Oreochromis niloticus: one gene and its partners. The protein of the gene in region 3 purifies or fractionates together with the protein of the main gene of each other region. This does not show direct contact. Links are inferred from orthologs where the notes say so. Each region holds a gene or a part of one and is shown on either strand. Other genes may lie near its edges.

The links.
Region 1: the proteins of chd1l (region 3) and xrcc1 purify together in Homo sapiens (affinity purification with mass spectrometry; 3 studies listed by BioGRID and IntAct, counting the BioPlex papers as one, with this or other methods). This does not show direct contact. The link is inferred for Oreochromis niloticus from reciprocal best matches to the Homo sapiens genes CHD1L and XRCC1.
Region 2: the proteins of chd1l (region 3) and aplf purify together in Homo sapiens (affinity purification with mass spectrometry; 4 studies listed by BioGRID and IntAct, counting the BioPlex papers as one, with this or other methods). This does not show direct contact. The link is inferred for Oreochromis niloticus from reciprocal best matches to the Homo sapiens genes CHD1L and APLF.

Annotation. Positions count from the first base shown.
Region 1 is NC_031976.2:28,705,706-28,713,388, reverse strand, and holds the start of xrcc1 (DNA repair protein XRCC1), read right to left. Parts: upstream 3,114-7,683; 5' UTR 2,687-3,113; coding exon 2,636-2,686; intron 2,538-2,635; coding exon 2,445-2,537; intron 1,206-2,444; coding exon 1,098-1,205; intron 1,012-1,097; coding exon 853-1,011; intron 501-852; coding exon 423-500; intron 1-422. Other genes in the region: myelin-associated glycoprotein, read right to left, coding at 4,330-4,485, 4,579-4,744, 4,837-4,939, 5,220-5,492, 6,296-6,559, 6,641-6,952, 7,630-7,683. UniProt on the Homo sapiens protein: Scaffold protein involved in DNA single-strand break repair by mediating the assembly of DNA break repair protein complexes. Negatively regulates ADP-ribosyltransferase activity of PARP1 during base-excision repair in order to prevent excessive PARP1 activity.
Region 2 is NC_031971.2:41,343,639-41,351,126, forward strand, and holds the start of aplf (aprataxin and PNK-like factor), read left to right. Parts: upstream 1-4,281; 5' UTR 4,282-4,322; coding exon 4,323-4,415; intron 4,416-5,138; coding exon 5,139-5,210; intron 5,211-5,515; coding exon 5,516-5,679; intron 5,680-6,002; coding exon 6,003-6,168; intron 6,169-6,607; coding exon 6,608-6,737; intron 6,738-6,827; coding exon 6,828-6,997; intron 6,998-7,082; coding exon 7,083-7,330; intron 7,331-7,488. Other genes in the region: cnrip1a (CB1 cannabinoid receptor-interacting protein 1a), read right to left, coding at 355-533; fbxo48 (F-box only protein 48), read right to left, coding at 1,464-1,625, 2,520-2,822. UniProt on the Homo sapiens protein: Histone chaperone involved in single-strand and double-strand DNA break repair.
Region 3 is NC_031986.2:36,236,232-36,244,245, reverse strand, and holds the start of chd1l (chromodomain-helicase-DNA-binding protein 1-like), read right to left. Parts: upstream 3,291-8,014; 5' UTR 3,165-3,290; coding exon 3,071-3,164; intron 2,852-3,070; coding exon 2,739-2,851; intron 2,582-2,738; coding exon 2,475-2,581; intron 2,389-2,474; coding exon 2,277-2,388; intron 2,169-2,276; coding exon 2,137-2,168; intron 1,612-2,136; coding exon 1,530-1,611; intron 1,442-1,529; coding exon 1,279-1,441; intron 1,096-1,278; coding exon 940-1,095; intron 1-939. Other genes in the region: sft2d2a (SFT2 domain containing 2a), read right to left, coding at 4,435-4,474, 4,578-4,607, 4,686-4,744, 4,850-4,885, 6,274-6,355, 6,458-6,543, 6,783-6,872, 6,962-7,027. UniProt on the Homo sapiens protein: ATP-dependent chromatin remodeler that mediates chromatin-remodeling following DNA damage.

The DNA of each region.
Region 1 (7,683 bases), on a different chromosome or scaffold from region 3:
CAAAGCACGTCAGAATTTTTCCGATCCAAAAGCTATGTTCATATTTCTTACTGTCTATGAGTTAAATGGAATATTATAATAGAATATTAGGCTTTGTAAAGGGTAAAGTACAGTAGCTTGTCTGTGCACTGATGACCCCGTCACCGCTTATCCTTCCTTGGACAACTTTTGATAGATACTGACCCCTGCAGACTGGGAACACTCCACAGGAGATGTACCATCACCTTGTCAGACATCCCACTTGCTCATTTTTCCTCCGTTTAACACATCAACTTTGAGGGCAGAATGTTCACTTGCTCCCTAATACATCCCACCCACTAACATTTGCCATGATGAAGAGATAATCTGTCTTATTCACGTCACCTGTCAGAGGTCATACTGTTTTTCCTGATTGGTGTCTGTGGTCTCAGTGGAGTACTTACTGGGGAGGAAGTTGGAGGAGGATCATTTTTGTCAGGTGGTGAATGAAACTTAACAAAGGCAAGCCCATATGCAATATTCTATAAAGAGCAAAGACAGATTCACATTATATTTGCATCAAAGAGACACAATTCAAACTCCATTACAACTTCAAACAGCCTCAACAACAGGATACCTGAGACAAAGGATCTGGAAAGATGATCTCAGTGCTTATATTTCATTGCACAACAAAGTTACTGTAACTGGAAAACCACACAGCGCTGTTGCTTGCAATTACATTGCTTTCATTTGACACTATGCACCAGGTCCCGTTCCACTACTGTATTCAGACATTGTCATCATTCCATAAACGGCTTCAGTCTTAAACATAGATACATTTGCTAATTACAAAGGGCTCGTCATATTACACGTCAAACACTCTTAGGCTCTTACCTTGCTGTATGGCTGGCTACACACAATTTTCACTTTGTCCCACTTCTCCTGAGCTGTGCTCTTCTGCAGCTGGTTGGGCCCAAAGAAACGCACACGGTTCATGTTGGTGCCACTGCGGCTCTCCGTGGGGGACATGAAGGAAGACGTAACCAGGAGAACCTAAAACAGTGAGATTAAAATCAGACTGGATGAAATGAAGTCAATATAGCATTCAGGAAGTTAATTTAATATTTTTGTAAGAATACCTCATAGTCCTGATCTCTGACAGCTGAAGAATTCCCCACCAACACCTCAATGAAAGCTGAACCTTCATTTCCAATGTCAATGCTGTGCACCTGCTCTTCCTTTTCAAACTGAGGAAAAAAGTAAAAGTTGCATGGTAATACTTCTCAAGGAAGCACAGGACACACTTCTAAAAGAGATTCTTAATCTCAAGAGCTGATGTTAAATAAAGATTGAAAAAAAAATCTATTCTAAGGCAGAAAGTAAAGCGAGAGAAGAATCAACACACAATCTACCCGAATGAATCTAAAACCATGTGGTACTGGCATTCAGCTCTCTGATCCCTGCACAATAAAGACAAATTCAGCTTTTTCGAGATAAATGGAAATATCGCCAAATTTGTCTGTATGGTAAGAAAGACATGATTGATAACAAATAAAATGTTAAAAGTACCTGGATCTATCTGTATACGATTTTATTTGGTGATGTACCAGATAAACAGATTATTTAGAGCAACTTAGAGCACAACTTAGAGATTACTTAGATCATAACTTTAAATATGTTTGATCATCATTATCTAATAACAGTAGAAATAACTTTATTTAATAGCACCTTTCAAAACAAAGTTACAAACCGCTTCAATTCAGTTCAATTTGATACATACAGTGCCAAATCACAACAACCCTCACCTCAAGGTGTTTTACATTGTAAGGTAGATCCTTCAATAATACATACAGAGAAAAACCCAACAATCATATGACCCCCTATGAGCAAGCGTTTTAGTGACAGTGGGAAGGAAAAACTCCCTTTTAACAGGAACAAACCTCCAGCAGCCATCTGCCACCCCTCCCTTCTTCACAGGGCAAGATTGGAAAAAAGCTAAAATAAATGATTACTTGGAGAAAGTGATAAAACAATTATGAAGGACAACAAAGACATAACTGAAGGTGAGGGTACAGAAAGCATCTTTATAACATATGAGCACTTAAATACTTTTAAAAAGTAAAAACAGAGATTTGAAAGATGATTGCGAGCTTGCCAACTGATCTTTTCAAGGAGACTGTTCTCAGTCGTGATTGTGGGATTGGCAGCAGAGACAGTGGACCAGGTTATCCGCAGGGGCGGTGACACAAGGTCTGAAATTCACTTTATAATTATAATTTGTATGTAAACTTCTTTTAGTGGAAAGAAAGCAAATATAAAAAGTTTGTTTAAATTCATTAGATTGTATGATTCTCCCAAAGTTACATGTGTGTGGTTTAGTGTTTGTGTTATGTGCCATCTAACTAATATCGTCAACGACAACTCACATGTTATTGAATTAGTTTGCTGTCACTTGAACACAAAAAACAAAAACAAAACAAACAAACCTGCAGAATGACTGATATCTGCTTCTCCCCGGGTCTGGCTGCTTTCCATTTTCTGTACGTGTCAGAGCTCAGCAGGTTGTCTGCCTTGTGTGTCTGTTTTTGTAACACAACATATGTGAGTATGAAGCAGCCTCACAGCTCAGCTTTCTTCATACAAATCTCACACAAGTAATACATCATACTGAACTTACAGAGTCCTCGGTGCTGCACGACACGACGTGCTTGAGTTTGATTTCTGGCATATCGTTGTTGTTACTGATGATCGTCAGGCTAAAAGCTGATCGATTAGTCCACTGATCACTCACATAAACCAAACGGGCGCGTGCCTCCCCACGAAGCGATCGCAAACGGCTAACAAGTCATAAAACACATCCAGTTTCTCTCCACTGGAAGTGATTTAATCCTGAAAGTTTAATTTCTTATTAGTCAGATAAGCGGCTGACTAACATGTTAGCATGCTAACAAACAATAGGCAACTCTCCTTGATGGTTTTGGTGATTTTAGCACACCTAAAGGGCTGTTCCTCGTAAACTGTTCACAGCGTTATATGCATGACATATATCCGTTACTCTGCTGTTACAGAAAATTCATACTGTAGATTTTGATTATGAGTTAAATGTGCGTGAAGGTGCACACATTTTCCCACCAAAAGCCTGTAAACGCCAGGATGTGACGTACCTTCCGACTAACAACTTTTCTATCCAATCAGAGCTTTATTTTCTTCTTCTGTGATTTAATTGTTGTGTCACTGAGGTTTATATTGCCACCAGTCGGTCACCATGTGAAGAGACATTCAAACAGAGGACTTGCTCTTGAAACCGTTTCAAATCTGGTGCAGTTTATCTCTTTTGTGACAAAATATACACTTTTAAACGTCGTGAGCAGATAGTTTAAGATCTCAGAGCAGGAAGAATGTACATTAGATTTCTGAATTCATAGTCTTTCAGCTGTCAGTGTTCGATAACACCATATCTCCAAAATTATGCATTACACCAGCAACAAAAAGAGCCCAATAATAGGTTTTTGTTTTTAAACTGAGAGTGCATCATCAATCAGCAATATACACATAATTACAGTTGTATAAAATTAGATAAGAAAGCTCTAGAAGATGTAATATAGGCAACGTTTGTACAGACCAGTGTAAATAAATGTGCACTGATTCAGTATGCATACAAAAAAAGTGAAGAAAAAAAGTTCACAATCAAACATGTAAATAAATTTGACTTTTCAAATAGATGAGCATGAAAGGAAGGATTCTCTGCATTATTCTTTTTGTTGTTTACAATTGAACTCTTGAAATACATATACTCAAGTGATGAACACTATGGGAAATTAGTTGAACAATAGCCATAAAGTAGGCATTAAAGTTCTAAGACAAGAAAAACTTCCAGGTATGCTTAACACAACAGAGTCACTGCTGATGTAATGAATGTTATACATTTCATCACAGCTGGAGCAGCTCTTTGTCCTTCCAGAGAAACTTTAAAAGCTTCCTGAGGATCACTTTTGTGCTCCAGCTGCTTTTAGAAATGCAACTGACTGGTCTGGTCAGACTACATCAGATTTGAGGGTCTGTTTTCTTTTTTTCCTCAAGGGCTTCACAGATAAAATGATGAAAACTGTTTCATCAAACCTTTTCATCTCTCCCTTTTTTTTGAAGAGCAAAGCACATCTCTGTCACTCGATGGCAGAAATTGTTCAGTTTGGAAACTAGAAGAAAGATAGACCTACCACAGATCAGAGTGCATTGTTATCAAATGCAAATGACATATATATATACACGTATCGATTTGCACTGTATGCAATATCCTGAGAACTAAAGAAACATTTGAATAACAACCAGTATTAATCCAGTGTACAATGTAACTGTAATTTAGCTTTGTGCTTAGAGAATCTCCAGGTAGATGCCCGTCTCTGCATCTTCCACAGCTGTACCCTGCACCTCTCTTACGCCTCTGACTTCCTGACCAGCTTGTTGGTTAATTCCTCCACCTGGTCCAGGTCTTCGTCTCTCCCCACCTCTCCTGCCCATTGGACGGATCTAAAAAAGGAGAGCAGCTGTTGTCACTGGAAGAAATGATTTGGTATTTCCTCTGGACAAACTGTCCACTGAAAGATCAAGGTTATCAAATACCTGCTTAGTGCGGACAAAAAGAGGCGTGCAGTTCTGGTACACAAGCTGGTAGCTGCCATTGGTGTAAACATGAGTCACTTCTGTGCAGTTTATATAAAGAGGCATCCTGTCCTGATAAATTTCCAATCCTCCAGGGTACATGGTGGGATGTCTTCTTAGAATGTGCCTGAGAGAAGCAGAACAGGTATTCGATAGACTTGATAATTAGGCGTGACACAATCCAAGCAAACTTTTAACAGGAAGTGTTTCTGTACATACTTTCTAGCTCTCTTTTTGCAGTAGTAGACAAGAAGGGCCAGGAGGAATATGACCAGGACAACGGTGACAGCAGGTAAAATCAACCACAGGAAAAATGCTGTCTCTGTATGTGGACCACAAGAGCAGCAGAGGATCAGCATATAGTATCCCATCACTGGATTATATCAACTTCAAACTTCAGTGCAAACAAGAAAAATCAGATTTTCCAATCATAGCTCAAGAAAATTATTTGGTTTTCTTTGCAGCTTCTTTTCTTCTACTTGTGTTTTTAAGCTGCAGGCATGCTGCACAGAAGTTTCAGCACAAGCAAGACATCAGAGTGAATAAACAAGAGGCAGGGCTGTTGTCTTTCTTAGTATGGAAAAGCAGTGCTTTGAACACACCTTCTTCTCCCTGCAGCAAGACCAGCGAGTCGTTTCCCAGAGCGTTGAAAGCAAAGCAAATCACCTTCTGAGGTTTTTCCATCTGCCCTCTCAGAATAGCCGTTAGCACACTGGGCTCCGATGTTACAGACACGTTGTAATCTTGAGGTGGAACAGACCCATTAACGCTCCAGGTGATTGCAGGTTTGGGGTTGGAGTCGACCAAACACTGGCACACGACCTCTGAATCCTCTACAGTACAGGTGGAGGAGAGCTGGATGATGGCTGGCTTATCTGGAAGAGATAATACTGTCATTAGGTTCTCAATAATATTTATGAGGATATGTCTACACAAAACACAGGGTCTAAGGATTGAAAGGCAATTTTATAATTTTTTGAATGGGTTGCATGAGAAACTTGACACACATAGTACTTGACATATGTAAAAACAACAGTTCATTCACTATTTATTGGCTGTGATTAGTGTCTTTACAGGCATTGCAGACTGTTTGGTCAGTGAAATCAAGTAGATGCCTGCAGAAGCTCCACATTTAACTCTGTGTAAGACAAACTCATTGGGATTTAATTGTCCTGTTTATCATCCAGTACACATAATAGTGCACTGAATGATAAACAGTTTTTTTTTGCCCTTTATTTTCAAATCCATACTGGTTAATGTATAATCACCTGTTTTTTGTTGCTCTCAATGGCTGCTCTGCAGTCTATCTACAGTTTGCTCAGATCTTCACACAACAAAAGCTTATTTTCTTTCCCTTATTTTTGTGTTCCAGTCATGGACTAACCTACAGACACGACTGAAACTTAACAATTGCTTTTCTCCTGGGAGAGTTCAAAGTTCAGATTTCAGTTTTTACTTGTCAGTTGGATTTGAATTATGCACCTGTAGTTGTTTTATTTTCCTTTTATTATCCCCCTCGTCTGTTTTTATCATGCTCATTTTTATACTTTTTGAACCTTGTTAATTTGATGCCAAATAAGTGCCTGGTTAAATCAAATCCTGTGGTTTGGTTAGTTGGATGCAACCTAACAACACGTATGTATGGGATGCAGAGAAGATCAAGAAGAGGTAGAATTACATTGTATATTAAGAGTTGTGGGCCGAGATTCTCCTCGGCCAATCAGGTTCTGAGCTGTGCACTGGACCCTCATATCTCGAGTCACGTTGTACAGCCGGACTGTGTGCGTTCGCTGATGGAGGTGCACAGTGCGGCCATGTTGACTATAGGACCAGTGGTACTCTGTTGCTGGAGGGTCAGCCTTACATGAGCACATCAGCAGTGCATTGCCCCCCTCCTTCACTGTCAGGGTCTGGACTTGAATCTTCACATCTTTCGGAGGAACTAAGAGCATAAAAGGCAAAAAGAAAGGTTTTAGCTTACTGACCCAAGAAACACAAATACACTAGTCAAATCTATACTTACACGTCACATGTAGGTCCTTCAAAGTGGATAGTGTTTTAGGACCTGGGAAGATGACCTGACACCTGAGCTTGGACTTCACCTGGTGTGTTACAGTGAAGGTCAAAGAGGCCAGTAAAATCTTCCTGTGGGGATCTGGGTAGAGTGTCGTTACTTCCCCAGGTTCAGTTATGTTCTTCTGGGCTCCTCGCTCCCACCTCCACTGCAGATCAGGCAGTCTGGAGGGGCAGTGGTAGTTGACAGAGCAGTTCAGGGTGACCAGTTGTCCTTCTGTGGCTGACATGATGCCACTGATGACAGGAGCTTCAGGGGTGTCTGCCAAGAAGGAAAATCTCCATCATTATGGTTTTGACACTTTAGTGTATTAAAAACATAAAAATCATACAAGCAAAAAGACGAATTCTCTTACAACGACCATTAGTGCTCGAACTACTGAACAAGTCTACTCATATGTGATAGAAACAAGACTGTTTAATTAATAATCCCATATTTCTTCTTTTGTGTTTTTCCTGTACTTGATATTGATTCACCCCCAAACAGTTAGTCAGGCTTCTTCCTGTTAAACCGGAGTTTTTCCCTCCCAATCTCATGAAGTTCTTACTAATATGGCGCTGTGTGATTGTCAGGGGCTTTTACCTTACAATATAAAGTGTGTTGAGGTGACTGTAGTTGTGAATTGGTGCTATATAAATAAAATTTGAATATTTATTTATAAATGTAAAGATAAAAAGAATTGCTTAATGCTCTTCCTGTAAATTTATTTTAGCTTTAAGAAAATATGTTTTCACGGGAAACATTTTAAAGTTTATTTAATAGTTAATCTGCTTGAGACACGTATGCACTTCATGCAGCTTGTTTTTTTTAAATAACTTTTCATGCGGGGGATTGTCTGATTGTACTAATAATTCTTCTATGCAATATTTATCATGTGAAAAAAAATCAAAGTGTTTTAAAAAGTAGAAAAGAGGACATGCATTGTTTTCCTCACTCACAAATACGGTCCAGATTGAAGCTCCTTGGCTTCCCCCAGAGTGAGTCGCCCACTG
Region 2 (7,488 bases), on a different chromosome or scaffold from region 3:
CATATCAATATGTACCTTTATTTAACTGATAATACTTCAGTATTTTTACATGTAATGGAGTATTCTCTGATGGTATTTCTGCTCCTGCAATAAGCACATTTTACCCCCGTTATTCCATAATGAACACGTCACTTCCTTTCATTGTCCCCGGTAACCGCAAACCTCCGCCCTGACCGGGAACGACACGTGATCCCCGTATGATTTATTCAGGCAGGTGTCGGATGCTGCGGCCTGCAGGAGGAGCAGGAGCAGCCTGCTCCTCATCATCACCTCTTGCAGACGTTCTTTATCATTTCTCGCACATGCGCGCTGGCGTGCCGCACACACAGCAGCAGCCTGCTCCGAGATGCTTACGTGGCCTCGACGTTTCCAGGCTTCAGCACCACCTCGATCTTGTACTTGGAGCCCGTGAGCAGCTTGATGGTCCGGCTCTGGCCGAACCGGGTCCCGTCCACCTTGAAGAAGACCGGGCCGTCGTTGGGCTGGATCCGCAGCGCGATGGAGATGTTGATGATCGGGGGGACGTCGTCCATGGCGCCGAGCTCAGGGAGGGGGAGGCGGACGGGTGAGAGAGATGCTGAGGAAGGACCAGAATCAAGCTGCACGCTCACACGGCTTCCGGTGACAGCTGCTTTCAAAATAAAAGACTGCAGCCGCAAATAGCAAAGCAAATGTCGGGGGCGGGGCTAGGAAAAGTCAATAAATGTCACAGGTGGGCTGTTATTAAAAAATAAGTTCATCTGAAAGTCGGGAAATTTGTAAAAGGTTAAAAACAAAAGAACGACCAGTTTAATGAAGAGCTCTCGAAACTGATTATAAAGACATAAAACAGGTTAGACAGAAAAATACAACACCTGTGCACGCTCAACATGACGTCACAGGCAGGAAATGTGTTCACATTTGTGTCAACACATTTTGAACACAAATGTGTTCAAAATATGTTCACACCTGCCAAACACTGCCCCCTGGTGGCCAAAGCAACATCTTTGTTACCTTTGAGCAAAAACGTTAAAAACAGATAAACACAGCTGATTTAAGTAAACTTGAGTTTGATGTTCCTGCGTGTCGGTAAGCTGCAGGTGTGCATGACTTTATGCTTTTATATTTCTGCTGGTCTGAAATCACAGACTGTCACACTGATTTCTTTGTGAGTCTGTGTGGCGTGCTGCGTGTTTGCTTGATGGGAGAAGCTGTGATGTGTCATTAAAAAGAACCGAGTCAGCACAACCTCACAAAGATGGTTTATTGTATCATCGTCATATTTACACGAACCCAAAACTAAAAGGCTCAAATTTAAAAAAAAAAAAAAAGTTTCACTTTGTTTCTCTGTGATTTTTTTCTATAAAAAAATTAAAAAATATGTACAAAAGTTTGCGTTTCCCGTGAAACACAAACTGCAGGGGGAATATATTAGAGTTAAAAATCAGAAGTGCTCGAGGTGCTTTGATAAAACCGGAACGACGTCATCGATCCAGCTCGGCCTCCAGGATCTCGCCCCAGGTCTCCGCATCCAGCGGCGTCAGCTTCCTGCCGCTCAGCTCGTCCGCCGACCTCACGTGGCTGAACCGTCCAATCAGCCAGTCTTTCTTCACACGGCTGCGGATGTAGTTCCTCACCAGGATCACCTGAGGACAGGAAACGGTCAGAAAACAGTTGTGCTGTTTCTGGGTGACGCTAGTTTTATAAGCTGGACTAAAAGCAGTTTTTAATAATGGCATTAAAATAAATGGCTGCAGCGTGAGACGTCTGACATGTGGACAAGTCTTCACTCCGCTCTGTTTCACAGTCATTACTAACAGTTGTAATGTTATGAGTATATCCAACACTTCAGTGAGAACAGCTGGAACATCTGCTACAGTCACAGGTTCTGCCCTTCAGCAACCTTCCAGCAGAAGCCCAATCAGAAGAAAGCTGATGGCTCTGACAGAGCGGCTTCATTCCATCAAAATAATTCCCAGCTGACTCTGTCATGTTTGCCTAAAAACTATTCCAGGCCAGGGATCCAATTCTTCGGGGAAATTATTCAAAATTTCAGCTCAAACAAAGGGCGAGGTGTTCTTAGACATTTTTCCAACAATATATTTTGAGGGACTTAAAGCTTGAATATGAAAAGGTGGTCTGTCTTCAGCGTGACGTTCCACGGGTGTGACACCGTGGACCAAACCTAACTTTATAGAAAGTGTCTGTGAAAACTGCATCCCAAGTTTGTGATGCTTTTTGGAATATTCAGGATTTAATGTGCATAAATCAACTCAGCTGATATGAAAACCTGGAGATCAAATCTCAGCTCTGACCTGCAAACCTGCTGACACAGGTCACATGACCTTCATCGGCATCAGATCCCTCAGAAAAACATCGATGGAAAAATGTTTAAAACCTCTGACCTTCATCCCTTTTAGATTAATGACAGCAGGACCTGAAATGAGCATAATTCCTGTTTGAAGCGGATCATTAACCTGGAAAAGGTTCAGAAGAATCTGAGATGTTTTCTAAGTTTAATGACATAATATGTTAGGAACCTTCCAGGAGAGGCCGTGTCTCCGGTCGCTGTCGACCTCCCTCTGGCAGATGGCTCGGACCATCAGGCACTGCTTCCTCCACAGCTGCTCGCTCTGCTCGATGATCTGATGCCACAGCCTGCAGGTCCTCGCCGCGCTGCACAGGCTCGTCGCGTCCAGCTCGCCAAAGATCCTCACGGTCATTTCTGTCGGCAGCGTCTCAGCAAAGTTGCGAGGTGGGGCGGTGCCTTCGGCTGCCGTCAGGGCGGGGCTTCCTTCACAGAGAAAAAACACTGGTGGAGTCCTCCCACACACATGCTGCATAATAGAGTCAGACTGAGTGGAAGAGCCTGAGGAAAGAGAGCCGACAACGATGGAGAAATGAGTCATAGATTCCACGTAAAGACCTCAGACTGTTTAACTCACACTGTGGAGGACAAGTTAAGGATGAAGAGAAATCACAGTGAAGCCTGAGATTCTTCATCAAAGCACCGACATGTTTCAAAGTACAGAGGCAGGAAAAGCGAAATAAAATGCAGGTTTAAAAAAAAAAAAAAAAAAAAAAAAATAGAGTAAAATAATTACATCACAAAGACATAAATAAAGAATCGGGGGGGAAGAAAATATCCCGAAACACCCAGAGAGAGACAGAAAGATGAGATGAGAAAAAAGACACAAAATCACTGAAATGAGCGAGAAAAGAAAGAAACGGACCTCAGAGAGAGTAATGACGCAAAGTGCCAGTAAGGAGAAGATCAAGCTGCTAAATAATGAAGGTTTCACACAAAATAAGCAGAAAAGAGCGAAACGTTTTGAAACAAGGACACAAAGGCCTGTGAGATGTAGATGAACCAGAAAGATTCCGTGCAGAGAGGCGTGACGAGAAGGTGAAGGGCTCCCACGTCAAACCGAAAGAGAAACATGAACAGTGGGGTCCCCACGGACCCAGCCTGGAGACGTCACCCAAACACAAACTGCTTCCTGTCTCTGTCTTCAAAGCTCAGCGCGTGATAAATGTCCACGTTATTACTGTCCTGTGTGGCCCTGCAGAGGACTAAGCTCTAGTTTTGGCCGACGCTCTGATTTTTAGTAACAAAACCTGATTTTAATTCTTCAACCCGACGACTCGCCTCCGCCCCTGCTAACAGCTAACAGCTAATAGTTCATGAAAAACTCCACCGGCCGCTTCCGCTTTCAGACCGAACACCGACTTTAACTGGGAAACAGACCGTGCACGTGTCCCGGTGTGTGTGATAAGAACGCGGCAGCGCGCGAGAGAAAACCGGTGTCTTACCTTCCGTGAGGTCTCTGACAGACAGCTCACACGGTTTAAATGTCCTAACGGATGTTTACAAATGTACGCTACGTCATCATATTTTGATTTTTGGCGCATGCGTGCAAGGCATAAACGTCCGTTAATTTAAATTTGAAAACAGCTGAATATATGATTTTCTTAATTTTCTAATTATAAAATTAAACTGTAAAGCATTTCTTACTCTGCCGTGCTACCGAGGTTAGCACAGGTAAGGTTAGTTTTATTTTTTTTAAATGAAGATTAATAAAAGATCAGGGAGATTCTGGGCGGAGTTCGGTGAGTGAGGTCAGAGACTCAGTGCGCACGCTCCGCTCCGTCCCGGAAGTTTTGAACGGTGCTGCTGAACTGAAGTTGTGTCGGCGCTGCTGCTCGGTCCGGTTCCCCTCCACACTCCGAGAAGCTGCTTTTAACCTGAAACCTTTTGAATTGTCGAAGCGTGGCGCTGCTCTCTGTTTTCCTCCACGTTCCTCCAGCGGGGTGCAGCTGCTTCCGTCCGCTCTGCCGAGCCGATGTCTGGCTTCGACCTGGTCCCGGTGGACGGCGGGGATCCGGTCCACCTGCCACCCGGAGAGACGGTGTTGGGCCGGGGCCCGTTACTGGGAGTGAGTCCTCCTCTCCTCTTCAGCCTGGAAACATGACCGCGGATCATTTATAGACTTCTGCTCGTTACAGCTGCACATGATCTTTGATCACGTGATAAATCCAGAGAAGCTTAGCTTCACTTAAAAACATGATTTAAAGCCCATAACTATCAATAACAAAGTGACCAGACGTGATCAGGTGGATCACTGATCTGCTGACGCAGAGAGGGCGGGGCTTCATAAGCTAGCACCTTGAACTTTGACCCTCCTCCGTCCTCCTGCCAGTTCCTTAAAATACAATAGGAGGCAACAGGATGCTGCTCAGGTGTATCCTTTAAAACAGGGGTGGGGAACTCCAAGCCTCGAGGTTTAGAGGTGTCCTTCATCTATTCATTTAAATGCCCTCCAGTTCTCCAGAGGCCTGGTGATGAACTAATCATCTGATCCAGGTGTGTTCACCCAGGGTGAGATCTAAACCCCACCCTTGCTTTATAAGGCTACAACTGGCCACTGTGCAAAAATCTTGAGCCACCCATCATGTCTGTATAATTTGTCGAGGGTGTAAAATTTGACCTCTTCCTGTTTAAAAAACAACTCTCTTGTTTTTCTGTCTTTGTTCTGAGACCTGGTTTGCTTCCCTTCATTCATCATGGCTGAGCTCGAGTCTGTTTGATTTATTTAGAGTAATACTGTAACAGAAACAGCCGGAGACGTCTGTAAACGCTGCCTTGTTTCCCGTCTCAGATCAGTGATAAGCGAGTCTCCAGACACCACGGGCTGCTGGAGAACCTGAGCGGAGAGCTACGCCTCAAAGCCGTACGTTCGTCCTTCCTCCTGTTCCTGAATGTGAAGCAGGCCACAGGTTTAGGTTTAGATTTTGTTTCTTATTACATTAGCTTTATTACATAATCATTTTATTATTCAACATTATTAATAAATATAGAAGTCTGGTTGTTTTCCTTCATGTTTCATATCATAGAAATCTCCCTTTTGCTTTAAATTCAGCCTTGGTTCCTGTTGCTTTGGCAGATTTTTAATTCCATTATTATTGTTATTATTATTATTATTATTAATGTTGTTGTTTGAGTTTCGGTTTAACCTCCTGCTGTTTCGGTCCTCAGACACACCTGAACCCGTGCTTCATTCAGTCGACCCCCACCAATGACCCTCGACCTCTGCAGAAAGGTTCCTGGCACGTCCTCCGTCATGGAGACTTCTTCTCTCTGCTGCCGGGTCGGTTTATCTACGAGGTGGTGTCAGTGGGCGGAGACGAGCGCACGCCAAGGTACTTCTGACGTCTGAAAAACGCTCCTTTCTGTGCTGATGTCGGTCGAGACAAAGACTCGAACCGTCTCGCTGAATAATGAAGGTGGAGGCTGCTCTCAGGTAACGAGAGCTCTTTTATCTGTGCGGGCTGCGCCCTGCGGGGTTAAACACTCGGTCGGAACATTAGGCACAGCGTAGGTTTACGTTTTCTTTTGTCCTGGAGCCGTCGTGCTCTTTGAAGTTGACATCAAAGTTAATGCTGATCAGCTCAGTTAAAATTCACGCTGAGCTTCCAGCTCGCAGCGTTAAGGTCTCACAGAAGTTAACATTTATCTGCATCAGTGTCGCTCCCCACAGGAACAGCCAGATGTTAGAAGAAGAAGAAGAGACACTTGCTGTTCCTCCTGATCCAGCTGTGGATCCACGTCCAGCTGTCAGACTGAACCAGGAGGAGCCGCCGCCGTCAGCAGCTCCGGAGGAAGACGAGGAGGCCGAGAGACCGTTCAAGGTAGGCTGAACTTTTCAGAGACGAGAAACTGCTGGAAGACTCCTCAGGGGGGCGGGGCCTAAGAGTGACATCAGCAAGTGTGAATATTTAATCAAGGAGGCGCTTTTCAGAGTGCAGGGTCAATGTGATGTGACAGAAACATGAAACTTTAGAATAGTTTATTTAAAAAAAAAAAGTTTATAAATGAAGTTATGACACAAACAAACAGATCAACAAGTACAACAAAAAACACACTGACAGAAATCATCATCAGAACAGGAATTATTGTAATAATAAAGGAAACTTTGGTTGACAGCAGATCCTCCCTCGTTCACCAGGGGGCGCCACAGCAGACAGCTTCACATGTTTGACCCCACAGTGGGTGTGTCAGTGGCTCAGTGGATGGCAGCGTGGAAGTGAGCAGCCAATCAGTGAAGTCGTCTCGTTGCGTTTCTTTCAGGGTGACTCGGTGGGATCGGCGAAGGATGATCAGCGAGACGCCGCTCCGTCTGTGACCAGGAGAAGAGTTTTACCTGCATGGATGCTGGTGGCTGTACCTGCTGCAAAGACTCCGTCCTCCACCCCGACAGGTAACAAGACCCGTCCTGTGTTCCCTCTGCCTGTAGGGGGCGCCCTTTCTGATCCTGTCACTTGTTATTTGTTTGAAAATGTCTGTTTAGTTCGGACCTGCCGACCTGCAGCGCCATCACCTGCCACTAAACGAGCAGCTGTCGCACAAGCCACGCCCACAGCAACCTCCTCACCTGAGGAGGCGGAGTTCAGCAGGAAGGAGGAGGAGAGGCCGAGGAAGAAGAAGAGAAAACTGAGTGATGACGAAGAACAACCTGAGGTAAGACCTGTTGAGCAGAGTTTCTGTTTCCAGGTTTAAACTCCGCCTCCTGACCTAAGAGACTAATATGTCCTCTGACTTTCAGGAGGCCGCCGCCCACCATCCGGCTAAACCAAACAGGTCTGAGGACAGCGGCGAGAACGACCGCTTCACCATGAAGGCGGAAGCGGAGGACAAAGCAAACGAGTCTGAGAAAGAGGGCAAGATGTCTGAAAACAACGGGACGTCTAAACGAGCCGAGCCCGCCGGGTCGAACGGAGACGCCGAGTCCAGCCCCGCCCCTTCCAAAGCCCGAGTCAGAACGCCGTGTCCGTACGGGAAGGACTGCTACAGGTACGACACTGAAACACACGCAGTCACAGGCTGAATTTATTCTGACAGCTTTTGCTTTGATGTCTCGTTTCCCTCTGAAGACGAGCTGAAGAGGCGAGTCAAGAGCCTCTCGTAGCCCCGCCCCTTCACCATCTCACAGACTCAGATTAATCCTTCAG
Region 3 (8,014 bases):
TGAATTTACAAATGACTGATGCCCCTAAACAGATACTATTAGAACTATTATTTCCACTTGGCACCTTTAAAAACAGTCTACAAAGTGGAAAAAGACAAAATCAAACAACAACAAAATCAGTGTAAAGTTATGACACATGAAACAAGGACCCAAAAATGCAAAGCAAAAGGTCAGTAATATTAGTAAATACTAGGGATGTGTCCACAAGCTAACTAATCATCGCTGCTGTCACTAATCGGTGCCAGACTAATCTAACTGTTAAAATTTTAATTGATGCCCAATGCCGGTAAATTATTGTGTCCTAAATGTTATGCAGCCATCTGCCACCAGATGGCGCGTCGTTGTCAAGAAACGCAACAAATCTGTTAATCTAGGCTTTTATTGAAGTGACATGATAAATGGTTTCAAATGCCTTTGTTATGAGTTTTTGACAGTTCTCAAATGTAACTTAATACCCGAGTGTTTCTTAGTTGTAGACAAGTTGGTTAGTCTCATTTTTGTTCCTCGTTTAGTTGACTAATAAATTAGTCGCCAGGAACATCCCTAGTAAAACTAGTAAACTAATAATAAAAGCTATGAAGCAACCATAAGAGCTCAGAATATTCGTGCCTTGGGGGGCCTTGATCACCTTCAGGTTTATTCATCGACTTTGGAACAGACAAAAAAATAGCACATTTCTCCTACACAGCTGGAGGCCAGACCCAGAAGTACTTTAAGGTGATGAGTAAAACCTTAAAACCAACTCTAAAATAGAGAGAACTGATAGAGAGAAGTCAGGATTTAGTGGCCGTTATGCCAACTGTAAAAATCAGTGAGAAGCTGAGCTGCTGCTTTCTGAACCAGGTGCCTTCTTGCTAATGCTGTAAGTAAGAGGCAAGTAAGTACTGCAGAGAAAATGCATTTATAAATGACACAGCACACCAAGTGCCCAAGTCTCACCCAGATCCTTCATCAGAACAGCTTTGTAGTATTTCTTCTGCAGAGCGGACATGCCATGATAAACCACCAGCTCGGTTTTCTTGGGCAGATCAACGGCCACCTGAGATTTGACTCTACGGAGCAGGAAGGGCTCCAGGATGCTTTGGAGCTCAGCAGCTATAAAAGGAATAAGATTCATGGTTAACTTTCCTACAGTGCATTACTGTACTGTACTTTTTTGTGACCAATATCTCACCCATTATATTTCAAAACGTTTACTTGGATATGGAGAGACGCATAGACTCAGAAATAACACTGAATGTAAGCTATGCTTTGTTATGCTATAATTATGTACCGTACCCAAAGCAGGCTGACTTTGTACATCGGAGTAAGAGTTGACAAAGCTGTCTGTGTCTTCTGGTATAAAGATGCTGGGCTGGATGAAGCTCAGCAGGGAGTAGAGCTCCTGCAGGTTGTTCTGAATGGGAGTCCCTGTCAGCAAGACTCTGAATCCCACGGAGAACTACAAGAGAAGAACACAAACAAACTGATTTAAGAGGTCAAGGGAAAGCCAATGAAGAAATCTGCACAAACCAGGTGTTGCTCAGTACCTCTGTCAAAGTTTTGTGCAACAGCGAGTTTTGATTCTTCAACCTGTGAGCTTCATCAACCACAAGCACCTTCCACTTCCATCTGAGGGAGAGATCAGGGAAATATCAGCACATGAAAACTTTGTTCTCAGTGAACAAACCTTTTAAATAGACCATTATTCTCTTCCTTTTCTTCTGTCACATATAATTTGATACAAAGGTGGATTGCTTATATTAAAAATGGCTCACGTTTAAAAGAATGATCCCTCTCTAATAATCTCTGTAGATTACTACGGACACACAGGCTTCAGACTAATATAAAAGCTTTGTTTTTGACAGTTTTTTCTAGTCTTGGTTTTGTAGTGTGGCTGGCATAATATGGTCATCTCAGGCATACAGGTCGCTAACCTAGATAACTGCAGTTTAAGCCGATCTTACTGGGTGAGGGACAAGAAGAGCCGACACAGAGTGATCTAAAAGCAACATCTCTACGGATGCTGGTCCTTTTTTTCTGTCACCTCTTGCTTAAAACTATATAAACTTGTATTAGGACACCACAGTTAAATTTTCCTCACGGTACATTGTTTCCAGAGCAGTTTATGCAGAACAAGAATAAGCACAAACTCACCGTTTCAAGAATGATGCATCTTTGAGACACAGCTGGAAATAACAGTTAAAAAAAAACATATATCAGTTTTAACAAAGGTGAAACCTTATCCTGTTTTGTAGGATGTACGATTTTTGTATGTTGATAAAATAGCCTCAGACCTCATATGTAGTGAGAAGAACATGGAAGTCCTGAGAGTTCACCTCCTGCTGGATCTCTGCCCGCCTTTCTTTGTCTCCTTTGTAAACCAGGACCGTCAGTGAGGGAGCGAAGCTGAAAGTAAGGCACACACAGGTTTACAGACCGTGCTAAAAGCACATTATCAAATGAAATGCAATCACTGGTTAATGTAGCTCCACCTTTCCAACTCATTCCTCCAGTTCTCCAGGACAGAGAGTGGGCTCAGCACCAAAAATGGTCCTTTCTTCCCGAGGGCCCCTGACATGTACACCAGCAGAGAGATCGTCTGAAGGGATACATGATGATCAGGACACCATTAGACTTTTTAGAATCAACTTTTGTGCCACCCCCAGTGTAACAGATGCTCCAAGCCTGACCACCTATATAAAAACTGTCCAGCCATGCCACAGCTCTGGATTACAGGTAAACAGATGATGTCATACCTGGCAGGTTTTGCCCAAACCCATTTCGTCTCCTAAGATGCATCCCTGCTGGTTCTTCAGGCACTGAGTTAACCAGTGCACACCGTCCAGCTGGTAGGGTCTCAGCTGTATCCCTGTGAGGAGAAAGCACACAGATCATCACCGCTGGAGCACGTTTAAAATAATCCCTGGAAATTATATGTAGGACGGCGCTGAAAGTGGATTAATCTGCGTCTAAATCCGTTTAGTTTGTATCCACAGTAAACGCCATGTCACTGTGAATGAATGAAGACACCCTGAAGTTTGTATGTGCTCTGCAGGTCAGTCGTCCAGGTTAAAAATAGCCTTTCTACCTCTCAATCCCCATTTCTTCAGGTCACTTTGAGCAACATCCGCCTTCTTTTTCTCCGCGATGCTGTTTTTTATTCTCACCAAAATGTCCGACATGTTTGCTGACCGACAGGACTACAACTTATACGAAAGACGACTTTATGACAGAAATGTACAGGCATGCGAGTTCCCACTGTTGTTTTCATACAGTTTACGCTTCCTGACTGGGTCACGTGACGCTACGGAAAGGCGCGCGGTTTTTTAACTTCGCCAAAAGTTTGTTTTCTTTCTTGAGCAACGCTCATTTCTTTATATTTTGTTGGGAAAATGGGAAAAATATGCAAACACAAATGCAACTACAAAATATAAGGGGAAAACAGTTTTTAAATTCTAAAAACGGTTAAGAATTTGCACATTTTACAAACTTTGGCTTTTTGTGATAGGTCAGTAGTAACTAAGTGCCTGATAATACAATTTAAAGGTGCTTTGTTTGCTAGAAGTCACACTGGTTCATCTCTGAAGTCCGGGGTCTTTTTTATGCTTGAATTACCCCACGAGCTCAGAAAACAAAAGACATTCCTCTTTAAATGGTAGGGCTCGAGGACTGGACTGAAAATGAACGAAAAGGAGGCCAATGTCCAACGAAAAGACTTTAAAATTACAAAAAAAAGGCTCCTTAGAAACAAAATAATAAGAAAAAGTCCTAAAAGGTCCACAAATAGATAAGTGCTTTGGGTTTTAATGTGAAACAGATTTTCTGACAGTTTATTTTTGAAAATAGAAACAAGAACCAAAAATATAAACTTGTACTAAATGAGAGATAATTCCAGATAACTAAAAATTCACCATTAAAAAAAAATGCATTTTGCATATTATAATATTAACAGGACCAACAATCTAACACACCTGCATTAAGAAAAAGTTCTGTTCATACCCTTGTGTAGTATCGTGATGACATAATTTAAGTACTGATTAACTATTTGAGCTTCATATTCAAATACCAACACAATTTAAGATCATAAGAACTTTTAATAAAAATAGATTTTGTCTCTGAGCAAGATGAAAAACAAAACCAACAACAATAAATGTAAAAAGTTTAAAATTTTGATTTATTACAGATATTTACAAATATTACAAACAAAGTCTACAATCATCATAAACTGGTTAAATTTGAGTGCTCACCAAAAATTAATCAGATCAATCAATGAAGCACAACTGAGAAAAATAAATAGAAAATTTGCTTCTTTTTCACCTATAAACAGATGCCTGAGCAGCAGGAAGGGTCAGAGACTCTCTAAGGGAGCCAATTTTAGTAACTTCAGTAAGAGACCTGCCCCATTCTTCAACACTTCATCCAAGCTGAACCTTCACCCCAAACACACATGGCCTATTTGATGAACATGGCCAGCATCCTCATGATTGCTTCCCTGGAAGGTAAAGAACATAAACCAGACATTTAGGCTTTGAAAACCACTTTTTTTCTAAATATTTACATAGAAGATTTGAATAAATGGAGCAAAATCTACAAACCTCACACATGGGATGTATGACAAGCTGTACCTGAAAACACACACATTTTATGTAACCAAAAAAATTTAAGACTGAAAAAAATTAATTAAATATGAAGTAGAGACTCACCAGGTAAATGACAAGACTTGCAAGATAACAAACAACAAAGCAAGTCCAAAGTTCTTCCACTGTGAGAAAAAGACAGATATTGAGATCAAACGCTGAAATTTATTCCAGCAAATACACAGATCAAGTTAGAAGTGATCATAAGTATTTTTTGGAGGCTCACTCACCCAGAAAGCCGCACAGAGAGTCAGAACAAGGCAAGTCTAAAGCAATGACAGAGAGACTTTTAGCTTTAATTTGAAGGGTTTTAACAAAAGTCTGCGCAAACTGTTTTTGAAGTACAGCCATTTTTGTACACAGCCCCTCATTTTCAGGCTTTCACATTAACTGGACAAACTAACATAGTTGTAAATATAAGGATTGTTTAATACTTTGATAAAAATCCTTGACTGCTTAAAGTCTAGAAACCATGGATATTACCAAATGTCTTGCTCTGCTAGACCTTTACTTCTGCTGCCTTTATCTACTCCTAGTTTGTGAGTCTTTCTGCATTCAGTTATATAGTTCATAACTGAAAAGCATGCTCTATTGGTTTTCTCATTTCTTTGCCTGAGAAACTGTTGGGTTAGTGTGCAGTTTGCTTTCGGTCCATTTGCACTGTGAAGTGCAGTCTGGTCAGTTTATACCCATGTACACTTCACAGGTCATCCCGCAACTTCTATCAACAGTCACATGATCAATAAACACCAGTAACCAAGTTGCACTAGCAGCCATACATGCCCATGCAATAACATTGCCTCCATCATGTTTCACAGATGATGTGGTTCACTTCAAATCATGAGCAGTTTCTCTCCTTCTTTTCCTTTCCATTCATTCTGGTAGAAGGTCATCCTGGTTTCGTCTGTCTTATATTTTCTGTGGTCTTCTTTTAGGCTTTTTGGTTTTGCTGAGCAACTCAGTGCATTCCTTCTTTTTATGACTCTACCAGTTTGCTCATTTGGCTATTCCTATAGTTTTTGGTTTCTATCTGATGTTTTGTTTCAGCCCAGTGATGACCTCCCTCACTTGCACTAACATCTCTTAGGGCCTGTTAGTTAACTATAATACCCTTGCTTCCAGTTGTATATGCCAGAACTGCAAAGTATGATGCTTGGGCATGACGTAGGTAGGTGACATGGCCATGCTCATAACCATATTAAAGCTGAGAAAATCTTCCGATCTACAACACAGGTGTCAAATTAGTGTCTGATTTAATTATTTACCTACATGCAGTTTAAATATTTGCACACTGAGCCTTGCACTGAAAGAAAGAGGGTGGTAACCTAATTGCACCTGCTGTGGGACATTCTGAGAGCAAATCTTCCATCACAACAAATCTTGTAGTTTTAAAGAGATACGTATGCACATCAGCGTCTGATTTTTGTCAGTCCATCCACAACCAAGTTTTCTGAACTCTAGCTTGGTGTTGTCATGCAATCCTCTAAGCAGAAAGCTGTGTTATGCAATCCTTTCACCTTTAACCAGCTCTTGAACTCTTAAAGAAAACAGATTTTTTGCAATGAATCTAAATTTACTGAACTCAGTCCACTCATGTTTGTGTAACATGTTCTGTCTTTTGGGGGTTGATATTTTTTTTTTTTTTTGCACTTACCAACATAATTGTAGTAGCCAGCGCTCTTGTTTTGTCACACATCCTTTTCAGCTGCTTCATTGGGCCCATCAAAAACATTGTGCTATCGGACACAGTGAAATGTGCAAGAAAGAAAAGCATATATTAAGTGTGTAAAACATGCAAAATAAACTTCCCATTTCAAGGAATTTTTTCCATCACTAACCTGCACAGAGCACATATGTTGCCAAACGTGTAAAAGACAATAAAGAGAGTGATCCCAATCTTGGGGAGGAAGAGCGCACACACTCCCTGCAAGACACGTGAATGCAGGTGGATCACACGTCATGTTTTATAAGCCTCACTTTAAGGAGGGACTAGGCAGTGTCGCCAAATGAATGAGCATCACATCTTCAGCATTCCTCAGAGCAAGAAGAACCAGTAGGGCAACACCAGCTTTCTCTGAGCTCTTCCTCGTTGTGGAGAGCGACTGAATATTGTCGTAGAAAAAAAAACAAAACAAAAACCCCCCACAGAAATTAAATTCTTACCAGAACTGTGCATGCGGCTCCCACCACGAAGCAGGCGATGAATCCCTTTATACGTGTGCCCCAGCCTAAAGTCGAAGCTTGGTTCACTTGCTGCATTAGTAGAAATTGAATAAACGATCGATTAATGATCCAGCTGAGATTAATAGCCACAAGAGTGAAAGATGGGATTAGGGCTTTACCTGTATAATGTTCCGGTCATCTCTGCGCGCCTCCTCACCGCTCAGAACCGATTTTAATTTATCCATGCCCGAGGAGCCTTAAAATTCGGCTTAATTGGTGAAGAATTCTAGTTGTTTCCTGAACTGAGAGGAACTTTGCCGGGTCTTCTCAGATCTGTGTGAATGGACAACAGCGTCACTCGCCAGCAGAGGGAGAGCCGAAAGAGCTGCCAATACCTTACCTGGCCAGGTGGGTCACTTCATCTTAGTCACACCTGAACCGGAACAGCAGCAAAGACGTCTCACTCTGATCTTTTTTTCCAGACGTGACTCAGTGTTAGAAACATTTAAACGCACCACCCAGTACAGCCATGAGTGAACAAGAGGGTCCAGATACCACTTTTACTTATTTTTTCTGAGATATTAAGTTTTCGGTTAAAAGCATCACTGTAAAAATAACTATACAAGTTAAATAATTGTTTTGATTCCCCGTAATATCCCGCAAAGTGGTTTGGTCCATCGTATATAATTCGCTAGCTCCTTTACTTTGTAAAGCTGGGCTTAAAACAATTTATCTACTAGTTAGTGGTAGAAATAAGTTGTTACACCTCTCTTGCATTTCTGAATGAATTGATAGAAATAATCAAATAAAGCGCCTTTTGGGTTGTTCTTAGTATTTTAACACACCTAACTGCTTGTCATACCTCCATTAAATGTGCAAAGACTGTCACACAGAGGCTCAATTTTTTAATCTTGTCAAAATAGAACATCTTCGTTTATCCCTCTCGTCAACAGATGTTTTGTGTTGTCCTGCCCTGACAAAAATAAATCTGCACAAGCAGTTTACTAGGACTGATCATTTGGTATTAATGTGATTGTGTACTAAAAATCACGGGTTCTCAGGCATTTTAGGGCTAGTAGTAGTAGTCTTAGTATTTGAACTATTAGACACTACTGAAACTTTAATCCTGGAAGTTTTCAACCCACACAGCTCAGACAGGGGAAACTTTATGTTCTATAATCGTATCAACAAGAGAATGGGCCTGAGAGCAAAGGACACAGTAACTTCCCTTT